Coturnix japonica: one gene and its partner. The protein of the gene in region 2 purifies or fractionates together with the protein of the main gene of each other region. This does not show direct contact. Links are inferred from orthologs where the notes say so. Each region holds a gene or a part of one and is shown on either strand. Other genes may lie near its edges. The genes, in order: RNPS1 and DDX41.

Region 1 (3,905 bases), on a different chromosome or scaffold from region 2:
TTCCCCTTCAGAGGTATCCAAAGCAAAACAGGCCTCACTTGTGCCAAATCTCAGTTCTAACCCCTTGCTTCTGAGAAGTGACCCCTAATTGAAAGCAACAGAGCAGCCAAGTGACAAGGTAAGAGTGTTCAGAAACAAGATGAACAGACACAGAAGAGCAGAGCTGCTGTGCACCAGTGGCAGCACACCAGAGGACAAGTGTGTTCTCCAGGGCACTGCAGCCAGGCACAGCACTGCATGGCAGTTACATCCAGCCCCTGGGCCAGCTCAACCTTCATGGAATACAGACCTGTATGCGTGTTTAAAGTTACAAATTGTGATATTCACAGAAGTACAAAAGACCCTCGCTATGTGCTCCCCTTGAAGGCACACAGAGGACATTCATCTCCTACACACGGCACACATGCAGCTCCTGCCTCTTGACAACATCCTCATCTCCAGAGGAAGCTCTGGTTTCTTCCATAGTCACCCTGTGCAGCAAAGCACATGCTTGGCAGGAAGAGATGGCTGCTGAGTAACAATATAGGCTGGTTCATTGAGCAACAGAGATCAGTATATTAGTTTGAGGAGCAATATATTAATTCAGCAAAAGGAATCAATGAGCACTAGTCCTAAAACTCTCCACTTCTGCTTTGCCTGGTGTGTGATCAGCCTTGTTTTCTCTCAATTCCCCTTCATAAGCAGCACTGGAGTCACGACAGACCACTGGTCATTGTATTTCACCAGGGGCAAGGACGCTTTCCTTGGATTTCCACACACGTTGTTTTGGAAGTTGCCCATTATGGCCTAAGAAGCAATGGACGTTTGCAAAATTGGGGAAAACCAGCTCCAGGTGAATCAAAAATGTCAGTGATGGAACTGATGGTGGAAAAATGGGGACAAAGTAAGTGGGCATACAACCAGCAACCACCCTCAGTGTAACTGTGCATGCCCAGAGGAACACGAACATACATTAATGAGTTATTGGAAGAGAATGAACGTGTGTGCCAGTGTGCTGCATGTGTAACTATTAACTGTTTACATGTAAAACCTGAACTCTGACAGCTCAATTCCAAACATTTCCTATGAGAGGGCTGCATCTATCACATACTCTAATGATCACCCAGTTCCACCTCTCTGCAAGATGGGAAGTGAGAGCTCAGAAGCCCAACAAGTGCTTTGCTAATGTCCTGCCTGCTGCTGGAGAGCTGGGAAGAGCTGCATGTAAACAGCACCATCAGCAGCACTCCTGTGTGCACCCACAGGGCTGGCACTTACCAGACTAAACAGCCAAATGCTGCTTACACATCCAGCAACCTCCTGTGAAAGGCTGCTTTTAGGCAGCCCTTAAGGTAACCAGTGTTCTTCTTTCACCCAATGAACACAGACCTTTCCCAGGACAGTTTTAGTTGGAAAGATCAGCCTGGGAGATGCAGCCTCTGGGCACTTTCACTTGTAGGTGCTCAGGCATTCACTAAAACACACCTCCATAAAGAATAACACCGCAGCATGAGCACATTAAAACAACACAAGGAACTTCTAAGCAACATCCACCCTTCCAAGAATGGAAACCAAACCCGACATCCCCAACATCTCAGTGTCTGTGCAGCACCCAGCCCAGCCCAGCCGGCCTCGGGGCACTCTATTAAGCTGCCCATTCCCTGCACACAGTCAGCTATGAGACCTATTCTTACAGAGAGCTGCAGCCAAGGCAACGACCTGGGCTCTCCCTCAGCCTTCCTGCAGGGCAGGCGCGCCCTGCAACGGCAGCTTGTTTATAGTTATATGAACAACAACTATAGCAAAGTTTTCCTCGCGTGATTTAAGGTCAGCCCGCTCGGCAGCTCCTCTCAACGCCCCCGGCCCAGCTCATGGCAGCGCGGGGCCCAGAGCGGCCGGGGCTCAGCCGCTCTCAGGCTGCGGAACGACGCCGGGCACAGCGAGACCCGCGGGTCGCTCCCGACTCGCTGCTCTGCCGCTGCCGGGCGCCGGGACCACCAGGCCCCAACTCCGCTGCAGGCCTCAGCCCCGGCTCCGCCCCGGCCCGGCCTCCCGCCTTCCTCCCCGCCCCCGGTAGGCCGCGGCGCCATCCCTATCCCCCGCGTCCATCCATATCCCCTCCGTCGGCTCCCGCCCGCTCCCCTGGGCAGCCCCGAGATGCGGCGGTGCCGCCCCGAAGCGGCGGCGGGGCGGATGGAGGCGGATGGAGGCGGATGAAAGGCCGATGGCGGCCGATGGCCGCACGGCGCTCAGCCCCAACACACTCACATCCTCGGCGCTCTCAGCGCTCCGGGCCCGGCGCGCGCGATTGGCGCAGAACGAGCGGGAAGAGCGAACGTGTGGCGAGCAGTGATGACGTCACCAGGGGGGAGGAGGGGAGGTGGGCGCCTTAAAGGGGCCGGGCAGGGGATCCATGTTGTCCTGCTGTCACGGTCTGTGGGCGGCCCGTGCCGTTATGGGCACCGCCATGTCCGCCTCATCATGTCCGTGATGGCTCCTGACGAATGGTGACCTTCCCAATGCATAGCTGGCTCTCAGTGTCAGCAGCTGGACGTGAGCCTTTCCCTATTGCTCCAGCAGAGCACAGCAAGGGCTGAACTGGCTCTTAAAGGAAATAAGATCTCAGTGGGTGTGGGTGCAGCTTTGGAATGGCCACCAGCCCCCCAGAGAATACAACAGATGGAGGTTCAGCTGAGATGCTGCATGGGACAGCAGACCAAGTGCCAGCGCTTCTGGGGATGACACTGGGGTGGGAGAAGCGGATTTACGCTCATAGTTAATGATGTTTAATGGGCCACAGCACGAGGGGAAAGCTTTGAGCTCCCACTGCTTTGGGGGGTGTCGTGGTTTTGTACTTGTTGCTGTTGGTAATTCCACATCATGGCTGAGGTGACAGACACTGCACCACGTCCCACTGGTGACATGGGCACTGTGCGCAGCCAAGGCTGCGTGGAGGCGGCCAAGGTGCCACCAGGGACATGGAATGAGTGGGAGGGGACGTGGGGAGGTGAAGCACAGAGGCTCAGGTCAGCAGTTCCAGCAGGCAGGAGGCACTAAGAGCTCAGTGTTTATTGGTTTTGCTCCGATCACGCATGGTTCATACAAGGAACGGGCTGACTCTGCTGTGCACACAGACACGTGCTGCTGGAGGCTGCCTTGGGAAGACTTCCAGGCACCCTGAAGCAAGGCCAGGGTACCCAACTGCCGGTGCCTGGATGGCCATGGGAGGTGTGAGGTTGTTGGCTGTCCCCAGCCTGTGCCAGCACCCAGCTGTGCTGAGCTGTGCTCAGCCGTGTATGTGCTGCAGCAGAGGCATCTCTGAGCTCCTCCCTGTGTTCACAGGATCTTTTCATTTTACTGCTACTTCTACAGCGCAGGCTGCTGCGTGTGCTGCTTCTAAAGCTACTTCCGCAAGCAAGTCTAACATGCACTGCCCTCCTGAAGCTGGAGACTTCCGTGCTGCTTCCAGCAAAGCGCTTTCAGGGCTGCTGGCCTGTCCCTTGTAGGCTGAGAGATGTCAGGCATTTGCTGCTTGGGTGAGGGGTTATGTGCTCATCCGAGGGGCAAGGTGAAGTATTCAGGCTGGAGTTTGCAGCCCCAGTGAGGACACGCTTCCCACCCTTAGGATTAAATGTTGGGCCTTAGGAAGACTGGGTGAGCTGGGGCAGAGCTACAGGAGCTGCAGGCTGTGTGTGCTGCCAGGAGTCTGCCTGGAAGGGCAGCACCACTCACAGGGCGACCCTGGCAGCCATTGTCTGCTTAGAGGCTATTTCCAGCACCTTTATGCTGCTCATCTGCATCCATTCTAGATGAATCCCGAGGAAATCCTCACTATTTGTCCACTTCAGCTTTTTTCCTTCCCCCATTGCTGGCTGGAATGGCTGTCAACTGTGAGATCTGTAGGGGTGTTTTTTTCTATTTTTCCT
Region 2 (3,905 bases):
GTGAAGCGCCTCAGCGCCGTGCCCAGCCTGTCCCGCATGATCTGGGTTCAGTCCAAGGCTGCAGACTCTGCTGTGGATGGCGATGGGCAGAGCCCGGAGCCCAAGGAGGGACCGCAGCCCAAGGGGCCGGAGCCACAGGAGCAGGTGCAGGCAGGGGGCCGGCAGCGGAAGAACAAGCGGCAGAGCGGGCAGGTGAAGAAGGGGGATGGTGCTGTGGTGCTCAGCGGCCAGGCCAGGCTGGAGAACTCTGGTGTGAAGGGGCAGGTGCTGGGAACCAAGCACCCTTCGAAGCCCAGCACTGCAGAGCTGCAGCGGGCGGGTGGCTGCACTGAGGTGGAGAGTGGCAAGGGGCAACCCTGGGGCTGCAGCACTGCCAGAGCGGAGAAGGAGAAAAGCAACGATTGGAAAGGGAGGAGGGCTGAGGGCAAAGCTGAGCTGCCGGATCTGGTGCAGCTGCCCACCCCGGCCAATGGGGACCGGCAGCTGCCTCCCCCCGCTGCCCTGGGAGGATCCCCCCAGCCCAAGGGCAAGAGCAGGAAGAACCGCAACAAGGTGGAGAAACCCAATACCTCTATCGGTGAGTGCCAGCAGCTCCGCTCTGCACCTGTGGCCCTTCCCCAGCCCTTGTCCTGTCTGCTGCCAGGTCCTGCCCTGTTGTGTGTGGGGTCCCATCCCTGGCTCTGTCCTGCTGGTTGCAGTGGGTTTTAGGGCTGTTGCCATGTTGTGCTGACCCTGTGCTCTGTGCTCTGCTCTCCAGATGACGTGTTCCTGCCCAAGGACTTGGATGGTGCGGAGATGGACGAAACCGACCGGGAAGTGGAGTATTTCAAGAGGTGAGGAGGCACCTGGTGGTGTTGGGGCTGTGCTGGATGTTGTGGTTGCTGTCACTCACTGTCTCTCTGTTGTGTCCCGGGCAGGTTCTGTTTGGACTCTGCCAAGCAGACGCGGCAGAAGGTGGCTGTGAACTGGACCAACTTCACCCTGAAGAAAACCACTTCCAGCGCAGCGCAGTGAGGTTGCGGGGCCGCCCCCTCCCCATCCCCGCTCCGCTCCTCACTGTGCCCCGTCCCCCCCCGGGTGCCCCCGGTTCTCCTCTATGGGGTTCCTCGTTCGAACACCCCGGTGCTCTCCTGCCCCGCGGGGCCCCCGGGGCTCCCCCCCCATCCAGCTCCTGGTCCCGTCCCGCGGAGCAGCCCCGTGCTGGACCCAATAAAGAACTTTGTAATTTTTTATTTTATTTAACCCCGGCCTCTGCTGCTTTGTTCGCCGGGCGGTTCGCGTTGTGCTGAACGCGTTGTGTCGAACTTTGTCCTCTGTGGGGACCCGTAGGGCAGCTTCTCCCGCGCGGAACGGGCCGACGCCATACTTGTTATATGTCACTTCCGGCTCGCCCGTTTTACATCCGGGTCAGCGGGGCTCCCGGGAGCCATGGAGCCGGGCGCGGAGCGGAAGGTGCAGGCCCGGCCCAGCCCGGCCGCTGACGGCCAGCCCCGGCTCCGCCACCCCCCGCTCACTGTGTGTCCCCCAACAGAGGCAGCGCGAGGAGGCGGCCGATGGATCCGACATGTCGGGGGAGGACGACGAGGACTATGTGCCCTACGTGCCGGTGAAGCAGCGCAAGCAGCAGATGGTAACGGAATAACGGGGTGACGGGGGTCGGGTCCGTCCCGGTGCCGCTCACTCACCGCACGGTTCTCGTCCAGCTGCAGAAGCTGCTGCAGATGCGGCGCAAGGTGGTGGCGGAGGAGGAACAGCGCGACAGCGGCAGCGAACAGCGAGGGGACGAGGATGACATCCCGCTGGGACCGCAATCCAACATCAGCCTGTTGGACCAGCACCAGCACCTCAAGGAGAAGGCCGAGGGTACGGCCGGTATTGGGGGGGCTGAGCTGGGGGCTGGGAGCACCGCGACACTGTGGGGTTGTTTGTTGTTACCTCTGCACAGCACGGAAGGAGTCGGCCAAGGAGAAACAGCTGAAGGAGGAGGAGAAGATCCTGGAGAGCGTGGCAGAGGGACGAGGTGAGAGCTGCCATCACTGTGTGCTCTGTGGGGATGGAGGAGGAGGTGACAGTGAGCATCCTCTGTTAGCAGCCAGCTGCCTGGCTGCGCTGGGGCTGTGCAGCTGCAGGCACCGAGCTCCAACAAGCTGTACCACATGTACTGCCTTGCTCTACTTGCTCTGCTCTCTGTGGGCATGGAGTCAGAGCTTGCACTGATCTTATTGGCTTTGTTTTTGCAGCTTTGATGTCAGTGAAGGAGATGGCGAAAGGCATTACATATGATGATCCGATTAAAACCAGGTGCGCTTTGCAGCGTGGGGGCTGTTTTTCCCAAAATATCACTTCCTTACAGCCGGCAGCAGCTGGGGGCCATACAGCCTGGGAGGAAAGAACTGCTCTGTGAGGCCATACAGCCTGGGCTGTATGTGAGTATGTGAGGCCATACTTCCTTGGCTTCCTGACTGCTTGCTACTCTATGTAAATTAAAAGACTGTGGAGTCACTTTGGATCTTATTACCCATGCAATAAGATTTATGTATGCATCTATGTAAAATGTGAAGGCTTGAGCTCAGTCTTCAGACAAAGAGAACAAGACTGGGAGAGCTCAGGGAGTTTGAGACGGTACCATGGAAATAACAAAGATGGGTCTAAATGATGTTGGCATGTTTTACCCATTATCTGTAGGCTGCTGTTGTCTATTGTATTGATGCTTCATACTTGGACCTTGGGGAGATGTTTGTTGTGTATGACTGGCTTGTGTCTGCTCATGTGCTCATGAAACCCCTTGAGGTCAATGTTTTCCTCTGTGGGATTTCAGAGCCCATTACGGAATTCTCATCTTCCTTTATTGGGTTTGCTGGCTCTGGAGCTCTGGAATGTTTTACACTCTGAACTTCCTCTGTTGATTTCTTAGCTGGAGAGCACCTCGTTACATCCTGGCCATGTCAGAGGCTCGGCACGATCGCGTGCGTAAGAAGTACCACATCCTTGTAGAGGGAGAAGGCATCCCACCTCCCATCAAGAGCTTCAAGGAGATGAAGTTTCCAGCAGGTGGGACCGAGGGTGGATTTTTCTGGGGAGACTCATGTCCAGCAGTGAGTGAAGCTGTTGGATCTGTAATGATCTGTTAGCAGTGTCCCAGCTTAAATTCACAACAGGGATTGTATCAGGTGGTTGCTGACCCAAGGGTCATTGCTCACTGGTCAGAGGGCTGTGGCTGAGAAATGAATTAGAGGGAAAGCAGGTTGTGAGTATGTGTATCCCGTGCTCTTTAACAGCGATCCTGAGGGGACTGAAGAAAAAAGGAATCCAGCAGCCAACACCTATACAGATTCAAGGCATCCCCACAATGTGAGTACTTTGTCCACGTCCCAGATTTAGGCAGTGTTTTTTTTGCTTCCAGCCCCACCCAGTAGCACCAACTGTGTGTTTCCCTCCACCCTCATTCACCCTGCTCAGATCTGGTGCACTGAGCCCTCCTTGTAATGCTCCTGCCCACCACTGGCCTGTTTCTCTGATAGCCTCTCAGGAAGGGATATGATTGGCATTGCCTTCACTGGTTCTGGGAAGACTTTGGTGTTCACCCTTCCAGTTATCATGTTCTGCCTGGAGCAAGAGAAAAGACTGCCATTCTCTAAGCGAGAGGGACCCTATGGACTCATCATCTGTCCTTCTGTGAGTTCTTGTGGGCACAGAGCGTGGGAGGAAGCTCACTGATGTTCAGTGACAGTTTCAGGTGCTCCCTGTGTGGAGAATTGAGGTGTTTTTTCTCTCTGCAGCGAGAGCTGGCCCGGCAGACCCATGGCATCATTGAGTACTACTGTCGCCTGCTGCAGGAAGACAGTCTGCCCCCACTGCGCTGTGCCCTCTGCATTGGGGGAATGTCTGTTAAGGAGCAGATGGAG

Evidence for each region.
Region 1: the proteins of DDX41 (region 2) and RNPS1 purify together in Homo sapiens (co-immunoprecipitation; 3 studies listed by BioGRID and IntAct, with this or other methods). This does not show direct contact. The link is inferred for Coturnix japonica from reciprocal best matches to the Homo sapiens genes DDX41 and RNPS1.

Annotation. Positions count from the first base shown.
Region 1 is NC_029529.1:12,010,517-12,014,421, forward strand, and holds the start of RNPS1 (RNA-binding protein with serine-rich domain 1), read right to left. Parts: upstream 2,433-3,905; 5' UTR 2,250-2,432; coding exon 2,248-2,249; intron 1-2,247. UniProt on the Homo sapiens protein: Part of pre- and post-splicing multiprotein mRNP complexes. Auxiliary component of the splicing-dependent multiprotein exon junction complex (EJC) deposited at splice junction on mRNAs.
Region 2 is NC_029528.1:11,995,331-11,999,235, reverse strand, and holds the start of DDX41 (probable ATP-dependent RNA helicase DDX41), read left to right. Parts: upstream 1-1,328; 5' UTR 1,329-1,428; coding exon 1,429-1,452; intron 1,453-1,531; coding exon 1,532-1,630; intron 1,631-1,703; coding exon 1,704-1,863; intron 1,864-1,945; coding exon 1,946-2,020; intron 2,021-2,240; coding exon 2,241-2,301; intron 2,302-2,914; coding exon 2,915-3,051; intron 3,052-3,278; coding exon 3,279-3,351; intron 3,352-3,521; coding exon 3,522-3,675; intron 3,676-3,779; coding exon 3,780-3,905. Other genes in the region: protein FAM193B, read left to right, coding at 1-577, 758-833, 918-1,014. UniProt on the Homo sapiens protein: Multifunctional protein that participates in many aspects of cellular RNA metabolism. Plays pivotal roles in innate immune sensing and hematopoietic homeostasis.